Linked DNA regions of Macaca fascicularis. The protein of the gene in region 6 purifies or fractionates together with the protein of the main gene of each other region. This does not show direct contact. Links are inferred from orthologs where the notes say so. Each region holds a gene or a part of one and is shown on either strand. Other genes may lie near its edges. The genes, in order: MTA3, ZNF512B, CDK2AP1, KPNA1, SMARCC2, CHD3 and BCL11B.

Region 1 (3,578 bases), on a different chromosome or scaffold from region 6:
AGAATGGCTTGTTTTTGTGCTGCTTATAGTTCTTTTTCAGTAAAGTGAAATATGTACTCAGAGTTGCTTTGACAGAAAGATTTATAATTAAGAAATGTTCAGACTGCAGACATCAACTCTTTTAAAAATCAATTGAATTTGGTATATTATCTAGTCCTTACCCGAATGTTCCAGGAGTCAGAGGCTCAAAGCTTCTTCTTTGATATTACTCTACTATCTTATTTCTTGCTTTCTTTCTTTCCTTCTTTCTTTCTTTCTTTTTTTTTTTTTTTTTTGAGACGGAATCTCACTCTGTTGCCCAGGCTGGAGTGCAGTGGTGCAATCTCGGTCACTGCAAGCTCCACCTCCTGGGTTCACACCATTCTGCTGCCTCAGCCTCCTGAATAGCTGGGACTACAGGCACCCACCACCACACCCAGCTAATTTTTGTATTTTTAGTAGAGACGAGGTTTCACCTTGTTAGGATGGTCTTGATCTCCTGACCTCATGATCCACCTGCCTCAGCCTCCCAATGTGCTGGGATTACAGGCATGAGCCACCGCACCCAGCCATTTCTTGCTTTATTTTTCAGGGGTTAAAGAGTTGTTTTGATATCCCCTGAAAATGTCACATGGTTATTGTAGGCATGACCTAGGTAATGGTGGTAATGTCCTTGAAGAGTGCTGTCTGTATTCCCTGGCAGAACTGACTCCTAGATGCCCCTTCCCACCTTGCATGGGAAAGTTTCTGATCACAAAAAAATAGAATAGGCCAGGCATGGTGGCTCATGCCTGTAATCTCAGCACTTTGAGAGGCAGGCAGATTGCTTGATTCCAAGAGTTTGAGCCTGGGCAACATAGCAAAACCCTGTCTCTACCAAAAATACAAATATTAGGCAGGCATGGTGGTGCATGCCTGTGGTCCCAACTACTCAGGAGGCTGAGGTGGGAGGATCAATCGCTTGAGCCCAGGAGGCAGAGGTTACAGTGAGTTGAGATTGTGCCACCACACTCCAGCCCAAGCGACCAGTTGAGACCCTGTCTCAAAAAAAAAAAAAAAACAAAAGAAAAAAGAATATAACATTATTAGCCTTTCCATGAATAATTGTGTGCTCCTACTGTGGGTAAATTGGTCTCTATATCTGCCAGATAGGCCCACACTGTGCTGTTCTTACTAGCTGAACCACATCCCTACACAATATATTTATGAGTATTTATATGTTGAAAACACTGTACTAAGTGATTTGGGAAACACCAAGATGGGTAAGACCTTGCCCTCAAAATTCTTAGTGTAGTGGGGAAAGCAAGCAGGTAAGAAGAATAAAACAAAGGATTAGATCCTATAAAAGAATTACAGGTAATATGTGTTGGGCACTTGGAGGAAGGACTGTTTTTTTCTTTTTTTCTTTTTTCTTTTTTTTTTTTTATTTGAGATAGAGTCTCACTCTGTCACCCAGGCTGAAGTACAATGTCTCCATCTCGGCTCACTGCAACGTCCACCTCTCAGGCTCAGGTGATCCTCCCACTTCAGCCTCCTGAATGACTGGGACTACAGGTGTGCACCACCACACCTCGCTAATTTTTAAAAATTTTTGTAGAGATGGGGTTTCACCATGTTGCTCAGGCTGGTCTCGAACCTCTGGACTCATGCAGTCTGCCTACCTTGGCCTCCCAAAGTACTGGGATTACCAGAGTGAGCCACTGCACCTGGCCAACCAGGGAATTTTTTCTAATGAGTGTTAGGGCAGCCTACCTGAAGAAAGTAATAGTTAATTTCAGACTTAAAAGATACTTAGAATTCAAATAGAAAAATAGGAAAAGGCCGGGCGCGGTGGCTCAAGCCTGTAATCCTAGCACTTTGGGAGGCCGAGACGGGCAGATCAGGAGGTCAGGAGATCGAGACCATCTATCTCGATGGTCTCGAGACGAGAAGAGATGGAAACCCCGTCTCTACTAAAAAATACAAAAAACTAGCTGGGCGATGTGGCGGGCGCCTGTAGTCCCAGCTACTCGGGAGGCTGAGGCAGGAGAATGGCGTGAACCCGGGAGGCGGAGCTTGCAGTGAGCTGAGATTGCGCCACTGCACTCCAGCCTGGGCGACAGAGCGAGACTCCGTCTCAAAAAAAAAAAAAGAAAAGAAAAATAGGAAAAGCATATTCTCTTCCCTCATAAGGCCAAGAGAACCAGATGAACAAAGGTTTCAGTGAGTCCAAGGACTTGAAAGCAGCTTGTCTGGTGTGGATGGAGCATAGGCTGTGGAGGTTAAATGAAACGCAAGGCTGGCAAACTTGTCATGTCATGTTGGAGAAAAAAAAAATCACTTTTTTGGGTGGCAGTATTCAAGCCATTTCTAAATTTTGGCAAATGTGGGGACTTTGACCAGAGATGTAGTAAGTCTAACAATTCCAACGGCTTTTCCTAAATTCCAGTAAATAAGGGCGATATCTCAGCCCTTACCTTCAGTGAAAGGGTGAGAAGACAGGATGGCTTGTGTGTAGTTGGCCAGCTGCATGATGACTCTGAGAATCGGTGAGCTGGTTAAGCTTTAGAAAAAGGCTGCCCAGCTTTAGTAGTAAACTGAGGTTCTTAAATCCAGTTCCTACAGTGTTACGGTTTCTGTCCATCCACAATAAGAGCAAGTAGTTCTGGGCTGTATGGCTAACAACAATATACTTTTGTTAAATGTGCATATGCCAGTTTTGTGATATATCCTTAGATAAAGCATTTCATCTACCTCTTGACTATTGGACTTTGGTTTCAAGTTTCATCTATATCAAAATGTTCTAGGCTGCGAGTAATTGATCCTGGTCCCATACTCTGTCTGGTTACAGAGCCAGAGGAGGAATCCTGTTTTTCAGAAAGCTCACATACCTGACATGGTGACTGGTTTGACAGAGCACAGAGGTTTTTTACCCTCCTCGCCCCAAGGCTACCTCTCCAGATAGCCTTTTGATGTCTAATATCTTGAGGAGTCAGATGCCTTATTCCCTTAGTAAATCACATGTTGTATGTGACCTTCTGAAGTGGCTTTTTGTTTTGTTTTTGCTTGTATTCACAACCCGAGGCTCAGAGCTCCAGCCAGCAGGGGAAAAACCAGCTTACTTGATAAGCAAAGCCATGGCAACACCACTTGAAGCTGACTCATTATGCAAGTCCTTGGCTGGCTCAGGAGGAACTGACTCTCAGCTCATTAAGTAATAAGATGTGTGCCTATTAGCCAATGTAAGTGCACATAGATTTTTAGTATCATGTTCTGAATTGAGAAACCTTTTTCCCCCCACAGAGATCCATCCTGCAAAGAAACCTAATGTAATTCGATCTACACCAAGCCTGCAAACCCCAACTACCAAGCGGATGCTAACAACTCCAAATCACACATCTCTGAGCATTCTGGGGAAAAGAAACTATAGTCATCACAATGGTCTGGATGGTATGTAAGCCCAGGAATTCTGGAGGCTGTTCTGACAGAGTGCCTCCACACTCAGGCATGTGTCTGCCACATCCAAGAATATATTATAAACATGTTCTTGTGCTCCATGATTGAAGTATGTGGTTGAGGAATAAGGGGGAATATGACCATATGCCACATTTTGCCAAGGG
Region 2 (4,187 bases), on a different chromosome or scaffold from region 6:
GTCAGGAGATCGAGACCATCCTGGCTAACACGGTGAAACCCCGTCTCTACTAAAAAATACAAAAAACTAGCCGGGCGAGGTGGCGGGCGCCTGTAGTCCCAGCTACTCGGGAGGCTGAGGCAGGAGAATGGCGGGAACCCGGGAGGCGGAGCTTGCAGTGAGCTGAGATCCGGCCATTGCACTCCAGCCTGGGCGACAGAGCGAGACTCCCTCTCAAAAAAAAAAAAGAAAGAAAGAAAGAGAGAGAGGAAGGAGAAAGGGAAGGGAGGGAAGGAAGGGAGGAAGAAGAAAGGAAGGGAGGGAGGGAAGAGAAGGAAGGGAAGGAAGGAAGGAGAAAAGGCAGGAAGGGAGGAAGGGAAGGAAAGCAAGAGAAGGAAGGAAGGGAGGAAGGGAGGGAGGGAACAGAAGAGAAGGAAGGAAGGAAAGAAGAAGGAAGGGAGGGAGGGAGGGAAGGAAAGAAGAAGGGAGGGAGGGAAGAGAAGGGAGGGAAGGAAAAAGGAAGGAAGGAGAAAAGGAAGGAAGAGAGGGAAGGGAAGGAAGAGAAGGAAGAGAACGAAGGAAGGAAAGAAAGAAAGAAAAAGAAAGAAGAAAGAAAAAGAGAAAGAAAGACAGACAGACAGACAGACAGACAGACAGGACAGGACTCTCCTGGGGGAGATTCTTGCGGGTCCTGTGCTAGTCCCGTGTGGGGCCTCCTCCGTCCTCTTTAGGAGAGCTACACCTTTCTCTGCCTCATTCAATTCTCAAGTCCTGTGGTGTCAGTGCCCCGTCGCCTCCAGACCACTCAGCCCACACCGGACCCCAGTGCCCCCTGCAGAAGCCCAGGATATGGGGCAGGGAAGGCCCTGGCACTGGTTCAGAACCACTGCCCCCAGAGCTGGGAAAGGTTGACCCAATGGTCAGTGACCCCAGTAAAGCTCCATGGCCTCAAGCCACCAGGCACCGCCAGGGGCCAGTCGCAAAAGTGGTCTCAGGGCCGGCTGGAAAGAGGCTGAATCCTGCTTTGCCGGTGCACGGCCCCCAGGGCCAGAGGTCAGGGACTCGAGCCCAGAGACCACCCTCGCCGCGCGGGCCAGGATGCGGCGGAATCAGGTCGCCTCAATCCGTGCGCGCCGGACTCCGGGCAGTGCCCAGCGCCCCTATCGGGCCTCAGTTTACCCCACTGTCCAAAAAACTCCCCGCGCCCCAGGACGGCAGAACTGGCTACTCCGGACTGCGGGCCCGGCCGACGGGGGCGGAACCGCGGGGGGGGGACCACAGGCCAGCGCCGGGCCCCCTCCCCGCCCCCTCCCCGCCCCCTCCCCGCCGCGGAGCGGCCGCGGGAATAACGCGAGAGTTCGCCCCCTCCCCCCCGCAGTAAAACTGTCAAAGGTGGGAGGGGCGGGAGCGCGCATGTGCGCAGCGCGGCGCGCAGCCTGCGCCGCCCGGACCCACCGCCCCGCGCCCCGCGCCCCGCGCCCCCCACCCCGGCCCGGCTCGGCCCGGCCGCAGCCCCGCTGGGCGCCGCAGGTAAGCGCCCGGCCGTGCCCCAGCCCCGATCTGGCCGCAGCCCCGGCGCCCACCGCGCCCCGGATCTCGACCCCGCGCGCAGGCCGAGGAGGGGGCCGGGCCCGGAGCCCCCCCGCCCCCCGCCGCGCCCGAGCCCCCGCGCCCCGCGCCGGCGCCGTCTTCCTGCCTCCTCCTTCTCCAGAAAAAGTCGCCATTTTGGTTCACTGCCTTCGCCCCCCCACCCCGCGCCCGCGATCGGCCCTGCCCGGCCAGGCCGAGGCCCGCGCCCCGCGCCCGCGCCCGCTCCCGGCCCCAGGTGACAGGTGGGTGGCGAGGCTGGCCCCAGGTGCGCGTCCCTGGCCGCGCTCACCCTCGCGCCAGGCCTGGGCCGGGGTCCCGGGCCGAACGGCCTACGCGGCGGACCCGCTGCTGGCGTCTCCTGCGCGCAGCGCGGCGGAGCCCCCTCTCCCCGCCAGGGCTCGGTGTGCCCGCTGGGCTCGGGAGGGCCGAAGCCCCTTCTCGCCCGGGGCGCCAGTCGCGTCTCTACCTCCCAGGCCGGCCCTGGCCTCAGGTCCCACTACTCTGAATTCTTCTCCCAGGCTTCAGAAAAATTGGGGCCACCGGGGTCGTCAGGTGCTGGGATGACTCATGCGGACCCTGTCTCCTTTCAAAGTTGCAAAGTGAGGACTTCCAGAGAACTTTGTGCCCGGACACTGGCCTCCCCCTTGGCAATGGGCAGTGACTGTCCTGACCTCTGACCTCAGCTCTCTGGCCCTCCTGGACACAGCAGCCCCTTCCCATCCCCTCTGATCTAAGTTAATTAGAAGGTATCAGGAGGGGGCCACCTGCCCACCCAGCCCTCACCCTGCTTCCTGTCCCACCTCTTTCCGTGGCTTTTCCACAGGGCTGAGCCCAGAGTCTCCTCTGCTCCCCAGCTCTCAGGATGGGGTTCCCAGCAGCACAGGACCTCGGGGGGGCCCAGCGTTGGGCAGCAGGGCATTCTCTCTGGCCAGCAGCCTGGGCCTTCACTGCTAGTGCTTCCACTACTTGTTTGGCTGAGGTGGTGGTAATGGGTCTGTGGGCAGGGGACTGAGAGTTCCAGAGAGAGATTGGGGGCGGGTCAGCCTGCCAGGCCCGCAGACAAGTCTGTGAAGAGGGTCGGGGGGATAGCTCAGCCAGAACAGAGACAGAAGCCTGGTGCAGGGCTGGAGTGGGCTGGGGGTCCTCAGTGCCCACCTTGGCTGTTTTCCATCTGTGTCTGGAGAGAAGATTCCAAGGGTACCTGCCTGGGTAGGTTGGCATTGCATCAGGTCTGCATGGGAGGGTACCAGGGCCCCAGTGAGAAGCTGTGCCCCCACTGCTGGGCCCGGGCAGCTTGTGAGCCAGCAGCCATCATCGGAGACATAATTGTCCCCTGGAGGAATGTTGCCAGCCTCCTTCCTCCTGCACAAGGCACCTCTCCCGGGGGCACACCCCTCCCAGCATCACCTCCAGCATCATCTCTGCAGCTATGGGGCTGTGTGTTGGGAAGGGGATCTGGAAGCTGGTGAGGGTCTCAGGACAGGACTAGATCCTTCCAAACTGATGACGCCTCCTGGGTTATCTGGGGAGACCTTGGCTGGCAGCCCCTCCCCTAAGTCAGAACCCCCCATCACTTGCTTTTCCCACGTGAACAAAACCACAGGAGGGCAGGCCCCTCTTCCCTGACCAGCGAGGACCTGCCAAGGGCGGGGCTCCAGGGCAGCCTCACTACGTGTTCTGAGTGGGGCCCGTCAGGCCTCACAGATTGTCTACTTGCTCCGCAGAGATGACGGATCCTTTCTGCGTTGGAGGCCGTCGGCCCCCGGGGTCCAGCAAGAGTGGTCCCGGGAAGGATGGCAGTCGAAAGGAGGTCCGACTTCCAATGCTGCATGATCCACCGAAGATGGGTAAGAGGAGTCAGGGCCAAAGTCAATTCTGGGCATGGTTCTGGGCAGCAAGGGGTAGGAGTGGGCCACGGCCCCGGGCATCCTGTCTCCAGGTACCCAGCTAGGCCCCTTGAGTTCCCAAGGACCTTACCAGGGGAAGGGTTGCCTTGGACATCGCCCAGGGCCCTGGGTTCTTGTCCTCAGCTGGCCACAGCCCCTGCTCCCGGTGCCCTGGTGTTGGGACAGTGGCGCTCACTGTGGGCCTGTGCAGCCCCCAGTGGTAGACAGTGCTACAGCTTCCGAGCCTTGCTGTGTTATGTGCTGCAGGGATGCCGGTGGTCCGTGGTGGACAGACAGTGCCTGGCCAAGCCCCTCTCTGCTTTGACCCAGGAAGTCCAGCCAGCGACAAGACAGAAGGGAAGAAAAAGGGGCGGCCAAAAGCCGAGAACCAGGCCCTCCGAGACATTCCTGTGAGCTCCCTCAGGGCCATGGTGGGGCTCATGCTGGGGTCTCCCTGTCCAGCCACTGCCCTGCCCTGATTTGTCCTCTGCACATCTGGTACCAACTCTGTGCCTCAAGGTGTGGGCACTGGCCTGGCAGGCTTCATGTGGTCTGGCTTTATATCTGGTGTGCCGGGAGATTCTGGGCTCCTAGAGCAGGTCTTGTGCATGGCCCCTGCTGGGTGGCTTGAATTCCCACTGCAGTCCGATGTTGAGGGGCTCATGTGGTGTGTGCACCCTGCAGGCCCAGGGAGGGCTCTGAGTGTGGGGCTCGGGCTGGCAGTGGCCCGGG
Region 3 (4,140 bases), on a different chromosome or scaffold from region 6:
CGGTGTTTTTTTACTTTCTCAAATGTGACTACTGAAAAATTGAAAATTACTTATGTGGCTGGCATGCTATTTCCATTGGACAGTGCTGCTCTAGAGGACTAGGCGCCTGGGACCAGCCACATGGGTGGCATTAATTTATTCATGGAATAAGGTTTCACTGAGCATCCTTCGCTAGTGCTGGTCTACAGCTGATCTCAAGGGTGGGGGTTAAGCTGGGGAGGGGGTGTCGTCGCCTGCACCTTTGGTCCTAAAGGAGAAGGCAGGCCTGGGTGGGCATCCCTAGGTGGGTGCTTTTGTTACCAGATCCGGAGATGATGCTTGCACGGCTGTGTCTAATTAAATCTGCAAACCATGGCGATTAAAAACAACAGAAAAGGGTGGGCATCTTATGTATTTTAACGAGCTTTACTACTTCGGCAGAACTCCAAAATTAAAAAAAAAAAAAAAAAAAAAAAGAAAAAGAAAAAAAAGAGAACAAACCCACAACCTTTAGGTTATTCATCTAATCCAAATCCAAAATACACTCGATGATTACATTTCAATCAGATCCGAAGATGGGCTGGGGGTGGGGTCGAAGGAAGATTTAAATTGCCCCGTAAAACTCCAGGGGGTAGAAACTTTGCCAAGTTCAGTTCTTGTATCCTCAGCGCTTGGAACAGTGAGTGGCGCATAGTAGGTGCTTCCCTTAAATACTGGAGTGAGTCTACGCACGAAATTGTGCGATTCAGGGGTGAGTTTTCCGGGAAGGGGGATGAGGGGTGGAGAAGGCCTCTAGCTTTTGTCAGTCTCACAGGAGTCTTGGATCCCCAAAGGGTTAAAAACCACTTCATAAAGACAGGGACATGAAATTTATTTGAAATCAATGTCAAGCATCAGTTATTCGAATCCTGGGGCTTGGCCAGACCCGGGCGTCTGGAATGATCTACGTGCTTAAATACACCACTCGCCACCATTTTCTCCAGGTAATTTTCCATCCCTGCCCCCACCGTCAAGGGGAAGAAAGTGCTCCTCGGATCCCGGCCGCCCTGGCCTCCTGCAGCTGCCGCGGGGGCGGCCCCCAGTGCACCCCTGGAGCGCCCGGCGCGGGGCGGCCGCCCGGACGCGCGCGGGCCTCAGGCGCCGCCGGGACCCCAGCCCCCCAAACTTTGGCAAGTTGCGGGCGCCGAGCGCACCCGGAGGCGCGGGGCGCGGCCGCAGGCGGAGCCGCCCCCTGACGCCGGGCCGCCCCCTCCCGGCCCCGGCCGCCCCGCCGGCTCCGCGGAAAGTTTGCGGCCGCCCCTGCGCCGCGCCCGGGGCCTGGGTGAGACTGCGGCGGCGGCAGGGCGCGGACGGCCATATTTGCCGGCGCGGCCCGAGCCGCCGACAACAAAAAGTGCGCGGGCGCTCGGCGGGCGCTCGGACGGGCGCGGGGCTGCCACGCTGCCGCCCGGCCTCGCCGCCGCCGCCGCCGCCCTCGCGGCCTGGCCCCGCCGCGCCCGGCGCGCCCGCCGCCCGGGGGGATGTCTTACAAACCGAACTTGGCCGCGCACATGCCCGCCGCCGCCCTCAACGCCGGTGAGTGAGCCGCGTGCGACGCGCCCCGAGCGCCGCCAAGTTGGGGGTCCGCGCGCCCAGCCCCGGCCGGGGGATGCCGTGGGCGCCCGCGGAGGCCGGGGGCGGGGGGCTCAGGGTCCCGGCCCGGGGCAGCGCTGCCGCCGCCATGATTTCCGAGCCCGCGCCGCCAAAGTTCGCTGGTGCGCCCCGCACGCCGAGGGCCTTGGCTGGGGGTGCGGGGCGGGCGGCCTGGGGTGACCCCCGCGCCGGCGGCTGCGGATCGCAGGGAGCGCGGCGGGCGAGGGCGAGGGCGGGGGAGGCTTGTTCTCGTCTCCTTTTTCCTCCCGCTTCTGGGCGGCTCGGCGAGGGCCCCTGCCGGCGGGAGTCGGGAGCGGCCCGGGCCGCGCCGGGAGCGGGGAGCGGGGCGCGGGGCGCGGGGCCCCGCCGCCCTGGGGAGCGGGGTCGTGGAGCGGCCCGGGCGGGAGACGCTGCGGGCAGGGCCAGGCCCCGCGCGGGCCGGCGCGGGCGGAGGGCTGCGGGGCTGCCGCGGGCCCTGAGGTCGTGGGGCCGCCGGGACTGGGACCGGGATGGGGTCGCCGGTGGGCAGCGGACTCGGAGGCCGGGGGGCCTCGGCCGGGCGCGTGGGAGCAGGGACTGCCCCATGCGGTCACGCGGGGATCCCCGTAAGGTGTGCGCGGAGTGAACGAAGTTGGCGCAGTCCTGGGGCTGCTAGGGCCCGCGCGCGGGCGTGGGGGCAGGGGGTCACGCGGACGCCCCATCTGGGAGCCCCCAGGGCTGATCCGGGAAGGCCCTCGATGCAGAAGCCGGGAGGGGCTCCCCTCGACCTTCCTGGGGCTGCGGCGGCAGCCGGGCGCTCCCAGGAAACTCCTCCAGAAGTTGTCAGGCAGCTTCGGGCTGAGCCCAGGGGACCGAGGGAGCCATGGGGAGTGGGCGCAACATTGAGGGATTGGTAGGTGCCGGGCTTTGTGACCTCACTGGGGCCCCTCTTCTCTGACACTTGGTCGGAAACAGACTTCCCAAAAGGCGGTTGTGTTGCGGGGCGTGGGGGGTAAGGACTCGGAGGGAAAGGAGTGGCCCCGTTGGTCACCGGTGCCACGCTGGCTCTCCTGCTCGAGTTTTGGGCCTTGTTTGCAAACGTTGACTTCATAAACCTCCCACATCCGAAGTAGGACCCATAAAAACGATATTTAAAAAAACCTTGGACACTGAGGTGTAGGGGCAGGAAAGGGTTAATCGTCAGGGTGCTGAGGGAGAGTTGAATTGCTCACTTGTGGGCTCGGAGTCCCAAAGAGCAAACAGCCACTGTTTTCTTCTCAAACATTCTCACCTCCTCTGGGGTCCGCAGACCTTACAAAGACGGGCTTTGTTGCCAGGTAGGACTGCCAGCAGCGTTCTTCCTCTGGCCTGTGGGGAGGGCAGGGGCTGGTGTTGCCAGCCTGGGCAAGGCTGACAGCTCAGGCTTGACCTGGTGTCATTGGGGCCGGGGCCTTAAACTGGGACCTTCAGGGTTTGGGGTCACAGGGATAGCGGCACTCACGGGGACCCCTGAAGTCCTGTTCTGAGCTGGCTGCACCTGTATTCAGCTTTTCTTCTCTTTCTCCTGTGGAGAATTTCAGGAGTGCCGAGATCCCCAGATCTGGGCTTTTTGGTGCCCCTCCCTCTCCCCCATGGACCCTTTTGCAGAACCCCAGCTCCCCTCCTGCCATTTGCATCCAAGATGGACTCTCCGCTGCTGCCGCTGCTCCTCCGGCTTCCTTGTCATCATCCCTCACGCCCTGCAGCCCTGCCTCCTGCTCACGGGTTGCCAAGCCGCGGCCTGGCCGGTGGTGGCAGTGGCGGAGTTAGACAAAGCCCCCGCCTCCCCCGCCCCAGAGCCCCCCAGGCGCCCCAAGTGGCGGGAAGGCCGCCAGCTCCCCAGGCCCCGGCGCTCTTTGTCTGGCGTGGGGGCGGGGAGCCGCGCCTGGCCCCAGGAGCTTCCTGGCCTCTGCCAACCCCTCGCTCCTGCACACTGCGCTCATTGTCTGAGATGCGCCGAGACGGCCTGCGCTGACGTGGTCCCTGTGTCCCGGTCCCTGTGTCTGCAGGAAGGAGTGACCATGAGTGGAACTCGGGGCATTTCCGCCATCTCTCTCCAGGACTAGACACCCCCCACCCAACCCTGAACAAGGGACTGGCCTGGACAGAGCATTGGAGTCACCGAGCTATTGCTCCTCGTCCCCCCAGCCAAAATGGGACAATTTCTCATTCCTCCTTCCTCTCAGCCCCGCAAAACCTAACCCCAGTATCATCAAATAGTAGGGTCTGGAGCCTGTAGACCTTCTCTTGGGAAGCACTGCCTCTAACAAATGGAGAAACTGAGGACTGGAGGGCGGGGGGCCTGTCTGAGGTCACACAGCCAGGAGTGGCACAGCTGGGGCTGGCGCCAAGTCCAGTGGGGAGGACAGAAAAGGAGAGGTGAGGAGCAGTGGGCAAAGCAGTTGGGGAAGAGGACGGGGGCACACCGAGTTGATTCGAGGGTGCGTGGGAAGTGGCTAGCGCCCCTCCTGCCAGGCTGCTGGGATCTTGCAAACGCCCAGGGTGCTGTGC
Region 4 (3,578 bases), on a different chromosome or scaffold from region 6:
CTTTTAACAACTATAGTGTCTTTTATACCCTCTGAATTTTTGAACCCTATCAGTATCTTTCTGTCCCTCACCCACCTCCATATGCTGTATGCTTTTGCCGTATTTGTTCCTTAAATTGGCTGTGGCCACTCTCAGCTCTGAGCTTTAACACATGGTTTATTCCCTCTGCCTGGAACATATGCCTTCACTGCTACCCCTTGCTCTGACTGCCACCTCACACATATCCATATTCTCTACTCCTAATGTTTTCTTGTTCTTGAATTCTTGGTATTATCATTATTTTCTCTGAGAATGCTTGTTTGACCCTAAACTTTTAAGTTAGGTACTTACTCTTTTTTCTTCATCCATCAGAATACTAATCACATTGTATTGTAACTAATTACTAGATTTTAAGATTCTAGAGGTAGATTATGTCAGTGTTTATTTCTGTGCCTCTGTAAATCTAATAATTTCTGGCACAATATATAGGGACCTAAAGAATATTTATTGAATGGAACGAAGTTCTGAATCTATACGTCTAGTTCTGATCTATCTCACGTTTCAGTCCTATATCTGCAGTAGTCTCTTACATATTTCTGCTTGCTTTGCATATCTCACATACGTCTCGCAGTATGTCTTCTTTCCCCCACAAAGCAAGTTCCAAGTTTTTATTTTTCCTATTTCAAGTAATGATATAACTATTCTATTTACCTACACATGAAACTTGGCAGTCACATGTGGTGTCTTCTTCCCTTCTACTTTGTATAGCAAGTTGCCAGGTCTTCTTGATTCTTATTGTTACTAGATCCCCATCAAATTACGTTCTTTTGGTCCTTGTCACACACACAGGTTGTTGCTGTACCCACCCATCCTCCTACTCTCCTAAGCAGTTACTCATCTCAGTTTATTCCCCCTAATAACAACTGAATCTCTCCTGAAATAATGTTATTTACATTATCTTCTTTTAGAAACAATAAGCTGCTTTAGTGCCTGTAAGATAAAGAACCTTGAAAAGATTCAAAGGAATTTCTCCGTAAGATTTTAGTCTCATTCTTCTTTCTAGCCTATTATTTTTGGGGCATAGAACTCTTTCTTAATTAGCCTCATCATGGCCAGGTATGCTGGCTCATGCTTGTATTCCTAGCATTTTGAGAGGCTGAGGTGAGAGAATTGCCTGAGCCCAGGAGTTCCAAACCAGCCTGTGCAATATAGCAAGACCCCATCTCTAAAAACATTTTTTTTTAATTAGCTGAGCATGATGGCATGTAACTGGAGTCCTACCTACTCTACTCAGGAGACTGAGGTAGGAGGATTGCTTGCGCCCAGGAGTTTGAGGTTGCAATGAGCTATGATCATGCCACCACACTCCAGCCTTAGTGATAGAACCATACTGTTTCTTAAAATGAAAATAGCCGCAGTAGTCTGTTCTTATGATACTTTGTAATAGCTTGTCTCTGCATTTTTTCATTTCTTATGTGCAGTGTCAGTCCTCCTTTTTGCTAATGAAATCCTGTTGCCTATTTAATAGGCATAAAAGACTTGATTTTAATTTGCATTTCTTTCATTACTTATGAGATAATTTTCTATTAAAATTTTAGTTTCTCTTTTCAGTTTACACAAGGAAGATAGCAACCCTCTCATTTGTTGCAAATATTTTTCACATTGGATGGTGTACATTTTTAAAATCTTTTATGATTTTTGACAAGAAAACATTTGTTTCATGAAATTTTTGTTTTCTCCTATAATTTATTTTTATGCTCAGTCTTTTACCATCCCCAAATCAGCTATTTTCTAATATTCTGCTTTATGATTACTTTTAAAAATATTTACTCTTAAGTAGCTGCAAGTTTATTTTGGCAACTTAGGGTTTTTATTAGTCTGTTATTTCACTGCTATAAATACCTGGCCGAGTGCAGTGGCTCCCGCCTGTAATCCCAGCACTTTGGGAGGCCGAGGTAGGTGGATCACATGAGGTCAAGAGTTCAAGACCAGCCTTACCAACATGGAGAAACCCCGTCTCTACTGAAAATACAAAATTAGCTGGGCATGGTGGTGCGTGCCTGTAATTCCAGCTACTTAGGAGGCTGAGGCAGGACAATTACTTGAACCTAGGAGGCGGAGGTTGTGGTGAGCAGAGATGATGCCATTGCACTCCAGCCTGGCCAACAAGAGTGAAACTGTCTCAAAAAAAAGAAAAAGAAATACCTAAGATTGAGTAGTTTATAAAGAAAAGAGGTTTAATTGGCTCATGTTTCTGCAGGCCATACATAATGTGTATAGTAGCTTCTGCTTCTGGGGAGGTCTCAGGAAACCTAAAGTCATGGCGGAAGGTGAAGAGAAAGCAGGCATGTCTTACATGACCTGAGCAGGAGCAAGGAGTAGGGAAAGGTGCTCCATACTAGAACAGAACCATGGCTAACCATTCTTGGAGGCTCCACCCCATGATCTAGTCACCTCCCACTAGGCCCCACTCCAACCTTGGGGATTACAATTTGACATGTGATTTGGGTGGGGACACAGATCCAAACCATATCAGTGTTAAGAACTGATTTTGAAAAAATTGTTTTTAATCTATTTAGCTTTTTATTCCAGTTCTGTCAAAGCCACCAGTCATTGGGAGAAAGGGTTAATTTTTATTATAAACTTTATACATAGCTGCATTTGTTTTTAGAATAGATCTCTGTTCTCTTTGTTTAGTGATTAATTCTTAAACCTGCCATATACTATCTTAATCACACTTTTTTTATTTTTGTTTCTAGTAGAGTAAGTCTCCTTCTCCATGTGTATTTGTGTTACCTCCTTCACCTTTATAAACTGATAGCTGAGGTCATATCTTTTTTATCTTTGTATCCTATGAAGCACCTGATATACCTCATTAAGTACGTATTCGTTCATTGACTACCAAGTAGTGTGTTATCAGAGGACCTACAAATCTGAGACTCCTGACTTTTCTGGCCACTTGATATATTTATTTATCCATTCAGAAGACTTACGCTGTTGGGATGGGAAGGTGAATGAGTAATGCTATTGCAGTTACTAAGTACAATTTAGCCGTTGTGAATGTGTACAATGAAACTGGATTGATAATCTTAGAAACTAATTCTTATTAACAGTGAATACTTTTTTTTTTACCTGTATAAAGTTATTTATAAAATTTCAAGGGGAGATGTTATGTCTTTCATAAAATCTGTTCTTTAAGTTAAACATTTATATTTAGAACAATACAATAAGTAAAATTTTCAAACTTTTTCTTTTAGGTAATTCTGAATTGCTCAGCTCTGCAGAGTTTATTGCATTTGCTGAGTAGCCCAAAGGAATCTATCAAAAAGGAAGCATGTTGGACGATATCTAATATTACAGCTGGAAATAGGGCACAGATCCAGGTAACCTCATAGGACCTAACTTTTCTTTCAGTATTTTTATTGAAAAGTAAGGTTTTTTTCTCAGTCACCCTTTAAAACATATATTGTTTTCGGCTGGGTGTAGTGGCTCCTGCCTGTAATCCCAGCACTCTGGGAGGCTGAGGCCCGTGGATCACTTGAGGTCAGGAGTTCGAGACCATACTGGTCAACATGATGAAACCTTGTCTCTACTAAAAA
Region 5 (3,578 bases), on a different chromosome or scaffold from region 6:
TGTAGTTTTAGCTACTCGGGGGGCTGAGAAGTAGTATAATCGCTTGAACCCGGGCAGCAGAGGTTGCAGTGAGCCAAGATCACACTGCTGCACTCCAGCCTGGGCGACAGAGTGAGACTCTGTCTCAACAAAGCAAAACAAAAAATAGCACATAGGCTGGGTGCAGTGGCTAATGCCTATAATCCCAGCACTTGGGGAGGCTGAGGCGGGCAGATTGCTTGAGCCCAGGAGTTTGAGACCAGCCTAGGCAACATGGTCAAATCCTGTCTTTACAAAAAAAAATACAGAAATTAGCTGGGCATGGTGGCACACACCTGTACTCCTAGCTACTTGGGGGACTGAGGTAGGAGGATTACTTGAGCCCAGGAGGTTGAGTCTGCATTGTGCCATGATTGCACCACTGCACTTTAACCTGGCCAACACAGCAAGACCGTGTCTCAAAAAAAAAAAAGTAGTGTGTAAAATATCATCTAGTATGATTATGATTATGTAAAAACAAAATTGTGGACCAGGCACAGTAGCTCACTCCTGTAATCTTAGCACTTTGGGAAGCCAAGGCAGGAGGATCACTAAAGGCTGGAAGTTCGAGACCAGCCTAGGCAGCAAAGTGAGACCCTGTCTCAACAAAAACAAAAACCCCGGCTGGACGCAGTGTCTCACGCCTGTAATCCCAGCACTTTGAGAGGCCAAGGTGGGTGGATCATGAGGTCAGGAGTTTGAGACCACCCTGGCCAAAATGGTGAAACCCCGTCTCTACTAAAAATATAAAAATTAGCCAGGCATGGTGGCAGGCACCTGTAATCCCAGCTACTCAGGAGGCTGAGGCAGGAGAATCGCTTGAACCCGGGAGGCGGAGATTGCAGTGAGCCGAGATTGCGCCACTGCACTCCAACCCGGGCAACAGAGCAAGAGCAAGACTCCGTATCGAAAAAACAAAACAAAAATTACTGTGAAAAAACATATATACATGTGTCAAGAGTAGTTATGTAAGGGTAATTCTTTTTGTTCTCTATTTTTGAAATGTTTCGTAATGTGCTTTTACTTCTTTATAATAAATAGAATACCAAAAAAAAAGCCAACCCAATACTTTCTGTAAATGGAAAGGATAAAAGATTTGCACTTCACTTTTCCACAATTCTATCCCATTGATTCTACTGTGTGCTCAATTTCCCATGGCAGTTATGACACATGGATCCCAGCGAGTGAAATTGAAGCATCTGTGGAAGATGCTCCAACTCCTGAGAAACCTAGGAAGGTGAGCTTTTCTTGTACCCCCTCTTCCCCAAAAAGAATGCCAGGAGCAGTCTACTCTTGGAAAGTGAAACAGAGGCTCGTGTGCCCTTGGGCTTTTTCTGTTAAGGGTCCCCAGACAGAGCTGTGGCTTCCAGGCTTCTCTGCAGCATGATCTGCTTTTGTACTTTAGATTCATGCAAAGTGGATCCTGGACACCGACACCTTCAATGAATGGATGAATGAGGAAGACTACGAAGTAAATGATGACAAAAACCCTGTCTCCCGCCGAAAGAAGATTTCAGCCAAGACATTGACAGATGAGGTGACAAATCCTGTTCTTTTTTCCTGGTGCCCTTAGCATAAGTCTCAGAACAAATCTTCATTGGGGATTGTAGGCTGACATTTGTCCCGATTCTCCATCCTATAGGTGAACAGCCCAGATTCAGATCGACGGGACAAGAAGGGGGGAAACTATAAGAAGAGGAAGCGCTCCCCCTCTCCTTCGCCAACCCCAGAAGCGAAGAAGAAAAATGCTAAGAAAGGGTGTGCCAGCCCCTAGCCTGCCCCCGAGTTCACCATTCTCTCCACATCATGTTGAAGGAAGGAAAGACAAATCCCTTCCTATAACCACCTGGCCCTGACCTGGGTGTGCCGTAAATACTGCAGGTGTCCTGAGAGGGAAGATGAGGAGATCTTTAGCTACTCAGTTGTTAGTTCTGGTCCTGGCGCCACTAGAAATTTAAAGAGAGCTTTATCAAATGAAAAGCCTTTGCCACTTCCGATTAGTCTGTGATTACTGGTTTCTGTTTGTACTCAGCTCTACCCTTGGAATTCTCTGTCACTTCCCTTCCCTTGAACTTCAACTTCCAGGGACTCCTTGTCCAAGGATGACTGAGTTCTCTTTCACTCTTTCCTTCCCAGTCCCTCAACACCTTATACTAAGTCAAAGCGTGGCCACAGAGAAGAGGAGCAAGAAGACCTCACAAAGGACATGGACGAGCCCTCACCAGTCCCCAATGTAGAAGAGGTGACACTTCCCAAAACAGGTACAGGCCAGGCTGAGCTCCTGGAATCCACCCCTACTCCCCATCCTGATTCTCCTTTGCCGAACCCCGAGTGAGCTGATTTCTCAGGTCCAGCTCCCAGTCTACAGGATCCACAATTTAGTTTTTACATAATCATAATCATACTAGATGATATTTTACACACTACTTTTTTTTTTTTTTTTTTTGAGACGGAGTCTCACTGTGTCATGAAGTCTGGGGTGCAGTGGCGTGATCTTGGCTCACTGCAAGCTCCGCTTCCTGGGTTCATGCCATTCTCCTGCCTCAGCCTCCTAAGCAGCTGGGACTACACGTACCCACCACCTCACCTGGCTAATTTTTTGTATTTTTAGTAGAGACGGGGTTTCACCATGTTAGCCAGGATGGTCTTGATCTCCTGACCTCATGATCCGCCCACTTCGGCCTCCCAAAGTGTTGGGATTACAGGCGTGAGCCACTGCACCCGGCCTGTACATGTACTATTAAGTCACTACTGTGGGAACGTTATAAAACACAAACATATCTAAAAAACTGAAAAATGTAAAAAATGATAAACATGAAGTATCCAGGCACAGTGGCTCACCCCTGTAATCCCAGCACTTTGGGAGGCCGAGGCAGGCAGATCATGAGGTCAGGAGATCGAGACCATCCTGGCTAACATGGTGAAACCCTGTCTTTACTAAAAATACAAAAATTAGCCAGGCGTGATAGCACACGCCTGTAATCCCAGCTACTTGGGAGGCTGAGGCAGGAGAATCATTTGAACCCGGGAGGTGGAGCTTGCAGTGAGCCAAGATCGCACCATTGCACTCCAGCCTGGGCGACAGAGCAAGACTCCGTCTCAAAAAAACAAAACAAAAAACAAAAACATGAAGAGAAATTCTGTATTCTCTTCCTGAGTTGCAGTGGATCATCTTTTGCATCCTATGTTAGAACCCCACTTTGGAGACCATTGCTCCACCAATGCTGGTTTACAGTCTGTATTCTATAGACTCACCCCAGGTATTCCAGACGTGTGTTTCAGGGGTAGGATTAGGGGTGCCACCAAGAAGAGTTCTGGCTTCCACCTCCTCATCAATCAGCTCTCCTCTCTCTGTTTGCTCCTGAGCATATGCATATGAATTCAGTTGAGGAAAGTATGCTTTCAAAAACATTTAACACCTAACCATTCCTCCACAGAATGATTTGGTCAGATTCAGTATCAGACCATTAAAAGCTTACAGATACATAGATGGAGATAAAGACCTATCAAAGACAAGAATGATTAACGAATGTACATAGAGAAATAAGCTATTTTTTGGT
Region 6 (3,578 bases):
CCTGACTACTGGGAGAAGCTGCTGAGGCATCACTATGAGCAACAGCAGGAAGACTTAGCCCGGAATCTAGGCAAGGGCAAGCGGGTTCGCAAGCAAGTTAACTACAATGATGCTGCTCAGGAAGACCAAGGTGAGGACTGCCCCAGATGCAGGCAGTAAAAGTGGGGGAAGTGATGATGAGAAGGGACTTAAGGCTGGGGCTACTTAGAGAGTAAGAGAGAAGCCTAGAAGTCAGAGCCTTTCCCTGCTAAAAGGGAAAGACGTAAGGTAGAGTCATTAGGAACTACCCGGAGGCCAGGTGGGTTTGCAGGTGATTTAAACTATTTGGTGGTTGCACAGGCATCCTGTGGACACCCAGGGCCACTGCTTAGAGTAGGTTTGGCAGGAGAACCAGAGGGGCCCAGAGACTGAAGGTGGGCGGTGAATGGAGATGCTGTAGGATATGCGGCTCCCAAGTCAGACTTCAGGCAGTGACCTGGCGTTCCCAGAAGGGCCAAGGCCAGAATAAAGGTAGACAAGTCTCGGCAGGGAGGAAGCCAGCCAGAAAGGGCCCCAGCATGGGCATATCCCGAGAGACCTCCCTGACCACTGGGCCCTCTCCACCCCCACAGACAACCAGTCAGAGTACTCGGTGGGTTCAGAGGAGGAGGATGAAGACTTCGATGAACGTCCTGAAGGTGGCATCTGTGTTCCTGACTCTTACCTCTTACCATTTTATTTTTCAGTTTGCTTTAAGCCCACTGTTTTTGTACAAGTAAAAAATCTTTGTGTGTGTGTGGAAAAACTCCATTGCAGATGAGCAGAAAGGAAGCAATGTTGATAGTCTCTCCACTAGTAAACTTCGGTTTGTGTGACCACATAGACTAGATCAAGAAAGGCTGAATCATTTTCCATTTCCACTGGTAATCTGGGCCTTTGTCAGATATCAGCTATTAATTTTAAAATATGACTAGTTCTTTTACAGTCACTGGGTTAGTAGTTCTGAAGTGCTTGGGAGAGAATTGGGAGCACCTCAAACATGATAGGAATGTTCCTGTGTTCTGTGTCTTGTGGGAATGGGGTGCTAAGGAGGACTGAGGCTTAGAGGAGGTGGTGGATCAGCTAATTGATGTCATCCCCACTCTCAGGGCGTAGACAGTCAAAGAGGCAGCTCCGGAATGAGAAAGATAAGCCACTGCCTCCACTGCTGGCCCGAGTCGGGGGCAACATTGAGGTGAGAGCTGGGCCCAGTGTTCGTGAGTTCTCCAAGGAGAGCATGAGGGCAGAAGGTTGGAAATTGGGGCCTGGATCACTGAGGGTAGAAAGGACAAGACCTAAGAACCCTGGACATTTGTCGCCATTGCCTCGTTGCCCCCACCCTCAGGTGCTGGGCTTCAATACCCGTCAGCGGAAGGCTTTCCTCAATGCCGTGATGCGCTGGGGGATGCCACCACAGGATGCCTTCACCACGCAGTGGCTGGTGCGGGACCTGAGGGGCAAGACTGAGAAGGAGTTTAAGTGAGTGTGGGTGATGCAGGGCTGAGTTGGACGCAAGGGTAAGAGCTTTGGGTGTTCCATTCTTCCTTGGGGCCGCCATATGATGTGACCTTACTCAACTGATTGTCACCCTCCCTACCATACAACGCTTCCTGGCTCGATTTCCTGGGGGGTGGTCTCAGCCCACCCCACCTCCCCTCAGCCGAGCCTAGAGTAGAGGGGCCAGGCATTCTCCCCAGGGGAGAGGTGTTGAAGCAAGGAACCTCTCCTGGGCTGTCCTAGCCTCACATTTACTTGGCCACAATCACCTGGCAGGAGGAGCTGGTGGAAAGGATGAAGAGCTGACTGATGGGGCCCAGGAATTAAGTACCAAGGCCAAGGGGATAGGCCAGGGATGGGGCGCAGGGGCACGGTTAGGACTTGGAGGGCTGGTAATGGTGAGAGTGAGAGGCCCAGGGGAGGAGCCCTGGAGCATCTGGGGATTTGGGGACTTGGGGGTCCTCAGTCATCCTTGCATCTTCCTCACTGCCCTATACCCCTTCTGTGGCTTCCCTAACCGTCCTCCCACCCCATGCTTCTTAGGGCCTATGTATCTTTGTTCATGCGCCATCTGTGTGAGCCTGGGGCAGACGGCTCTGAAACCTTTGCCGATGGGGTCCCTCGGGAGGGACTGAGTCGCCAGCAGGTGTTGACCCGCATTGGAGTCATGTCTCTCGTCAAGAAGAAGGTATCAGTCTTCCTCTCACCCAAAAAATCAAGCTGGCTGCCTAGTCTCTGTCCTTCCTCTGCCTCTGTCCCTGAGTTGTAAGCTCGCGCTGGTGTGAGACGGAGGAGACTGGAGTTTCCTGTCTGTATGTCTGTAAGTGCCTGGAGCTGACACCTGTCCTTCCCACCCCAGGTGCAGGAGTTTGAGCACATCAATGGGCGTTGGTCAATGCCGGAACTGATGCCCGACCCCAGCGCTGACTCTAAGCGCTCCTCCAGAGCCTCCTCTCCTACCAAAACGTCTCCCACCACTCCTGAGGCTTCTGCTACCAACAGTCCCTGCACCTCTAAACCTGGTAATCAGAAATCAGGATGGTGGGAGAGACAGAAAGGGAGCCAGGAGTCAGGGCAAGAGAACCTCTGTCTTTATCACTGTGCCTTCCCCTGCAGCTACTCCAGCTCCAAGTGAGAAAGGAGAAGGCATAAGGACTCCTCTTGAGAAGGAGGAAGCTGAAAACCAGGAGGAGAAGCCAGAGAAGAACAGCAGAATTGGGGAGAAGATGGACACAGAGGTGTGTGGCTCCCTGGATTCCCCTGTGGAGTGGGAGGGGAGGGGGCTTGGAGGCCAGATGCCTGGGAGCCCTCCAGCTCATCCTGACCCCATTGTCCTCTTACAGGTTGATGCCCCCAGCCCAGCCCCATCACTCGGGGAGCGGCTGGAGCCAAGGAAGATTCCTCTAGAGGATGAGGTGCCAGGGGTACCTGGAGAGATGGAGCTTGAACCTGGGTACCGTGGGGACAGAGAGAAGTCAGGTGGGTGCATGGCCTTAGGAGTGATGGGGGATTAGAATTTGGGATGTCCCTCTTCTGGGGTCAGAGGATGAGGGTAACATCCTCCCTTCCTATCCCCTACCCCCTCCCACAGCCACAGAGTCGACGCCAGGAGAAAGGGGGGAGGAGAAGCCGATGGATGGACAGGAACACAGGGAGAGGCCGGAGGGGGAAGCAGGGGATTTGGGCAAGAGAGGTAATGGGTGGAAGGACCGGACACCTGGGTCCCTGAGGGCATCAGGGGAGGTGGAGTCTGGGGAACCAAATGCTTGGGTCCTGGGCGGGTAGCTGTTTGAAAGGCCAGGACAGCACAGTACAGATAGTAGTCTTGGGACCTGGGAGGAGGGTGTCCTGAGGTGTGAGCTTTCACCTGTCTGTCCTAGCAGAAGATGTAAAAGGTGACCGGGAGCTTCGACCAGGGCCTCGAGATGAGCCACGGTCCAATGGGCGACGAGAGGAAAAGACAGAGAAGCCCCGGTTCATGTTCAATATCGCAGATGGTGGCTTCACAGGTTGGGGAGACTCTTGCTGCTTTCTGCTCCTCAAGGGGATCTGCTCATCCTCAT
Region 7 (4,213 bases), on a different chromosome or scaffold from region 6:
GTGGGTGCAGCTGGACTCGCCCGCGAAGCCCAGCGGGAGCCAGGCCCCGACCCGCCCTGGCCGCCTCCGGAGAAACCCTGAGAATGGAGAGGAGGCCAGCCGCGTGGCGCGCCCAGCCCTGGAGGCCAGGTCATCAAATTCACAAAGTTGGCCGCAGCCTGGGGAATAGGGGGTGTCCACGGGGGCCGTGGTCCGGCCTTGTCCCCGGGCCACAGACAGGCCCCACAACTCCTCTTGTCCTCGCCGGCTGGAGATCAAACGGCTGACAAGGCAGCTGCGTCCTTCCCAGTCTGACAGGCATTTTCAAGTCCTACCCTGGGCCGAGGAGCGCGGGGGGCGGGGTGTGACTTTCAGGTTGCTGTGATTGTCAGGGGCGCCTCCTGGAGTCACCCACCCGAGTATCTGCGGAGATCTGGCCACACCTACTCCTGGGCCGGCAAGTCCAAGTCCCTCTCCCACGTGGAGCGCCCGGGCCCCTTACCCTCTCGCTTGCCATAGACCCGGTTTAGGGGGTGGGGCCGTGTTTGACCCCTAGGAGTTAATGGGGGTAAGGTGAGGGGAGGGGACAGAGATTTGAGTGAAAATCCTTTTCCAAATGGGACTCAAACAAGGTCTCAAACACTTCTCAGCCCCTCACGTGTTCTTGATTCTGTTCTTTTAGTGTCGTTTATTTTGTCTTCCTCACCCTCCCAGAGTCTGTAATACCAGGATTTATATGGAGACACTTTTTGGAAGTTGAACTCCAACATCCACCACCCCGCCCCCGCCCGCGACCATAAAACAAAAGTAAAAACTTCCAAGCGACTTTTCCACGGAAACGAAGCAATTCTTACTGTCCCCCAACTCCCATGTCGACCCCAATCCTTTTCCACAGTCCACGCCCCCACCCCCAAAGTCCAAGTCCGAAAGAGCTTTTGGGCGGGTGGAGACTTGTATTGATTCAATTTAGTTCACTCACACAGTACCCCGGCCCCCTTCTCAGGGGGTCCTGCTCCCAGGAGGGAGGCGATATAAGGACGATTTTTCTTTTATTTTAAAATACGCTGCCCAGTGTCCCCCCCCCCAACCCCCTCCTGCTTTTGCGCAGCCGGGGCTGGGGGGAGATGAGGAGCGCACAAAAACGCGGTTTGCACGTGTGTCCGGCTTGGGCTGCGGGTGTGCGCAACCGGCGACTGTGTGTGTGTATGTGAGTGTGTGCGCGCGCGCGAGTGTGTCTCTGTGTGTGCTTTCTTGTTCTCTTACAGGGTACAATGTTAAAAAGCCACCGCTAGTCGCCCCCAGTGCTCCGACTCTCTGGGTCTTTTTGTCTCTAGTGCAGATTAAACGTCACGTCCGCACTTGAACTTGAATTTTATCCCATTGTACAGAGGCAGCCCCAGCCATAGAGAGACCGAGAGCTCCCAGAGAACCCGGACTCCGCCATCTTCACGTTGCAATCTATAGCTCCCAGTCTGCGCCCGCACCGACCCAGGCGCACTGGGCGAGCCGCCCCTCCGCCCCGCTCCCCCCGGGCCCGCGGCGCCAGGGGAGCGCTGGGGAGCGCTCGCGGGGACTCGGCAGCCCCTCCGGCCGGCGCCAGCCTGCCAGGTGAACTGGGAAGGAGCCTCTCTTGGTGTCCCCCCAGAGCCTCGGAAGGGTCAGTCTCCGAGAAAAAAAAAACAAAAAACAAAAACAGGCAGCCCGCAGAAAAACCCAGAAACAACCGAACCGGGGCAGTTTTACATTGCTTTGGGTTTTTTGAGGGGGCGGGGTGAGGGGGTACGAGACAAGTCCCCAAGTTTTCTTTGCTTTTTTTTTCCTTTGCTTTTTCTTCTTCTTTTTTTTTTATTTGTTTGCATTTTTTTTCTTTTCCCCTCCTGGTAGAAGTGCGCTTTCCACCTACCAGACCCTGAAAGAAAGTGTCAGGAGCCGGTGCAAAATCCAGTTTAAGTTCAAGAAGACATTTGCAAGTGCAAGAGGCCAAGCAGTTTGAAGAAGTGTAAGAGATTTTTTTTCCTTCGAAAGAATATATTTTTAAAGAAACCAGCCAGTCCGCGGAAAGCAACAGCAGTTTTTTTTTTTTTTTTGCCTCTTTTTCTTATTTTAGATCGAAAGGTTTTTCTTGCTTTTCTTCCCTTTTTTTTCTTTTTGCAAACAAAACAAAAAACAGCATAGAAGAAAGAGCAAAATAAAGAAGAAGAAGAGGAGGAAGAGAGGGCAAGAGAGGAAGGGAAAAAAAACACCAACCCGGGCAGAGGAGGAGGCGCGGCGGCGGCGGCGGCGGCGGCGGCAGCGGCGCGGCGGCAGCGGCAGCGACTCGGACCCCCTCCCCCGGCTCCCCCCATCAGTGCAGCTCTCCGGGCGATGCCAGAATAGATGCCGGGGCAATGTCCCGCCGCAAACAGGGCAACCCGCAGCACTTGTCCCAGAGGGAGCTCATCACCCGTAAGTGTCTGCGGAGTGCGCGCGAGGGGCCGGAGATGGGGCTCCGGGCGCCTGGGGCTGGGGACACGGAGCCCGGAACAGCCGAGCCGGGCCAGGCGCCGGGGCCGCCCGCTGGCTGGCAGAGTCAACGGCGTCGGCCTGCAGCATGGCGGGGGGCGGGGGCCATAGGAAAGTTTCTTTGCAGCCGGGGGAGTTGGGGCGCCGAGCAGCCGGACGCGCCTCGGGCTCGGGGGCCTGCGAGGGGGCGTGCAGGCTAGAGGAGTGTGTGTGTGCGCGCCGAGCCCGGCTGGACGCTCGCCCCTCCGAGCGGCGTGTGTGGCGGCGGCGGCGCTGGTGGCGGGGTTTGGAGAGGAGGGGGAGGGAGCTGGGGGAGCGGAGGGGGAGGGGGGAGCCGGGAAGTGGGGAAAAGTTGGCGAGCGCGTGGGTCCGTGCTGACGGCGCGGGCGGAGGAGAGCGGGGTGCGCTCGGGCTGGGGGAGCCGTAGGGCCAGGGGCGGCCGCCGGCTCCGGGTTCCCGGTCCCTGCGCCCGGCCCAGCAGGGTGCCGGCCACGCCGGTCCTAGGATTCCGCAGCCGCCTTTCTCTCCCCTCCTCCTGCTATTTGCAAAATAATCCAGCTGCGCGGCTGTTTGCAGGGCTCAAGCCCCCCTCCCCACCCCCCATTTCCCCACCTCCGTCTGTCTCCTGGGATGATCTTGTCTTCTTTCCCCCACTTCAAAAAAGGTGGGGGGATTGGGGTTGGTGAAAAATCCCCGCCACGAGAAAAAAAAAAAAAAAAAAAAAGGTTGTCAGTTAGGAGTGGGAAGAGAGTGATGCGCTCGTAAAATAGTAAAAGAAAAAAAAAAAAAGAAATAAAAGGAGACCCATCAATCTCGTATCCATCTTTCTATCTCAGTATCTTTCATCTTTCCTCTCTAAATAAACAAGGCAGGTCGCAGTGGAAATCCACCGGCTGAAATCGTGTAGATTTCAAGCATGTGGCTGGGCGGGCAAAGTCAGGCAGCGGGGCTAGACAAGCAGCAGCTTCCACCGTCCCTGTTGGGTTTATTTAGCAGAGGGGAAAAGCGAGCGCGAGCGGGCCAGGTACGGTGTTTGCAGGGGAGCCCGCTCCGGGTCCCCGCACACTTGCACCGGGAAGGTGGCATCGCCGCGCTGCCCGCCCGCCGCAGCCCGCGGGGCCGCTTCTTCGCTGCGCGCGAACATTTCCCCGCCGTTCTTTCTCTCGCGGTGCCTGGGTCGCCGTTCCTTTTTTTTTTTTTTTTTTTTTTTTATTGCATTAAAAATAAAACATCCTCTGGGTGCTATCGAGACCGCGGGCAGGTTGTATGTCTGCAATCCGCCGCGCACCTCGCCGGGCTGGGGCCGGGCTGCCCGCGCGGAGCTAGAGAGGGCTGCGCGCCCAGCCGCCGCAGAGGACTGGCTGCGGGGCGGCCGAGAGCCGAATATTTATGTTATATTTTAAAAAATTTAAATAAATAAATAAATATATAAAGGGGTTCTCCCCTCCCCTGAAAATCCAGCATAGGAGCCATCTGCTCGGAGCAATTGCTGTTGCCATCTCTCCTTTGTTGCAGCAGATACATTAGTAAGAATTTGTGGATTTATTATGATTTTTTTTTGGGGGGAATAGAAATTAAAGTGGGATTCGCCTTGGGAGAGGGATGCCTCTTTGGAGGGAGGGAAGAGGACTTCTCTTTTATTTTTCGCCATTGTAACATCAAAGAAGACTCGCCGGCTGCATTTAAAACAAAATGTTTTGCAGCCAGATTTGAGCTTGGTTTGATCAAGGTC

Evidence for each region.
Region 1: the proteins of CHD3 (region 6) and MTA3 purify together in Homo sapiens (affinity purification with mass spectrometry; 4 studies listed by BioGRID and IntAct, with this or other methods). This does not show direct contact. The link is inferred for Macaca fascicularis from reciprocal best matches to the Homo sapiens genes CHD3 and MTA3.
Region 2: the proteins of CHD3 (region 6) and ZNF512B purify together in Homo sapiens (affinity purification with mass spectrometry; 3 studies listed by BioGRID and IntAct, with this or other methods). This does not show direct contact. The link is inferred for Macaca fascicularis from reciprocal best matches to the Homo sapiens genes CHD3 and ZNF512B.
Region 3: the proteins of CHD3 (region 6) and CDK2AP1 purify together in Homo sapiens (affinity purification with mass spectrometry; 6 studies listed by BioGRID and IntAct, with this or other methods). This does not show direct contact. The link is inferred for Macaca fascicularis from reciprocal best matches to the Homo sapiens genes CHD3 and CDK2AP1.
Region 4: the proteins of CHD3 (region 6) and KPNA1 purify together in Homo sapiens (affinity purification with mass spectrometry; 3 studies listed by BioGRID and IntAct, with this or other methods). This does not show direct contact. The link is inferred for Macaca fascicularis from reciprocal best matches to the Homo sapiens genes CHD3 and KPNA1.
Region 5: the proteins of CHD3 (region 6) and SMARCC2 fractionate together in Homo sapiens (co-fractionation; 3 studies listed by BioGRID, with this or other methods). This does not show direct contact. The link is inferred for Macaca fascicularis from reciprocal best matches to the Homo sapiens genes CHD3 and SMARCC2.
Region 7: the proteins of CHD3 (region 6) and BCL11B purify together in Homo sapiens (affinity purification with mass spectrometry; 3 studies listed by BioGRID and IntAct, with this or other methods). This does not show direct contact. The link is inferred for Macaca fascicularis from reciprocal best matches to the Homo sapiens genes CHD3 and BCL11B.

Annotation. Positions count from the first base shown.
Region 1 is NC_088387.1:79,328,997-79,332,574, reverse strand, and holds part of MTA3 (metastasis-associated protein MTA3), read left to right. Parts: intron 1-3,261; coding exon 3,262-3,408; intron 3,409-3,578. UniProt on the Homo sapiens protein: Acts as a component of the histone deacetylase NuRD complex which participates in the remodeling of chromatin.
Region 2 is NC_088384.1:120,103,240-120,107,426, reverse strand, and holds the start of ZNF512B (zinc finger protein 512B), read left to right. Parts: upstream 1-1,373; 5' UTR 1,374-1,509; intron 1,510-1,665; exon of another isoform or gene 1,666-1,811; intron 1,812-2,087; 5' UTR 2,088-2,778; intron 2,779-3,293; 5' UTR 3,294-3,295; coding exon 3,296-3,416; intron 3,417-3,722; coding exon 3,723-3,865; intron 3,866-4,187. UniProt on the Homo sapiens protein: Involved in transcriptional regulation by repressing gene expression. Associates with the nucleosome remodeling and histone deacetylase (NuRD) complex, which promotes transcriptional repression by histone deacetylation and nucleosome remodeling.
Region 3 is NC_088385.1:130,400,073-130,404,212, reverse strand, and holds the start of CDK2AP1 (cyclin-dependent kinase 2-associated protein 1), read left to right. Parts: upstream 1-1,302; 5' UTR 1,303-1,499; coding exon 1,500-1,554; intron 1,555-1,897; exon of another isoform or gene 1,898-2,221; intron 2,222-2,824; exon of another isoform or gene 2,825-2,927; intron 2,928-4,140. UniProt on the Homo sapiens protein: Inhibitor of cyclin-dependent kinase CDK2. Also acts as a component of the histone deacetylase NuRD complex which participates in the remodeling of chromatin.
Region 4 is NC_088376.1:160,809,252-160,812,829, forward strand, and holds part of KPNA1 (importin subunit alpha-5), read left to right. Parts: intron 1-3,236; coding exon 3,237-3,362; intron 3,363-3,578. UniProt on the Homo sapiens protein: Functions in nuclear protein import as an adapter protein for nuclear receptor KPNB1. Binds specifically and directly to substrates containing either a simple or bipartite NLS motif.
Region 5 is NC_088385.1:62,968,033-62,971,610, reverse strand, and holds part of SMARCC2 (SWI/SNF complex subunit SMARCC2), read left to right. Parts: intron 1-1,179; coding exon 1,180-1,255; intron 1,256-1,423; coding exon 1,424-1,555; intron 1,556-1,660; coding exon 1,661-1,776; intron 1,777-2,154; coding exon 2,155-2,279; intron 2,280-3,578. UniProt on the Homo sapiens protein: Involved in transcriptional activation and repression of select genes by chromatin remodeling (alteration of DNA-nucleosome topology).
Region 6 is NC_088390.1:7,972,681-7,976,258, forward strand, and holds part of CHD3 (chromodomain-helicase-DNA-binding protein 3), read left to right. Parts: coding exon 1-130; intron 131-611; coding exon 612-677; intron 678-1,127; coding exon 1,128-1,213; intron 1,214-1,363; coding exon 1,364-1,497; intron 1,498-1,629; exon of another isoform or gene 1,630-1,768; intron 1,769-2,058; coding exon 2,059-2,203; intron 2,204-2,374; coding exon 2,375-2,537; intron 2,538-2,631; coding exon 2,632-2,753; intron 2,754-2,858; coding exon 2,859-2,994; intron 2,995-3,106; coding exon 3,107-3,208; intron 3,209-3,395; coding exon of another isoform or gene 3,396-3,398; coding exon 3,399-3,524; intron 3,525-3,578.
Region 7 is NC_088381.1:167,343,963-167,348,175, reverse strand, and holds the start of BCL11B (B-cell lymphoma/leukemia 11B), read left to right. Parts: upstream 1-1,377; 5' UTR 1,378-1,587; exon of another isoform or gene 1,588-1,863; 5' UTR 1,864-1,978; exon of another isoform or gene 1,979-2,149; 5' UTR 2,150-2,366; coding exon 2,367-2,424; intron 2,425-3,728; exon of another isoform or gene 3,729-4,213. UniProt on the Homo sapiens protein: Key regulator of both differentiation and survival of T-lymphocytes during thymocyte development in mammals.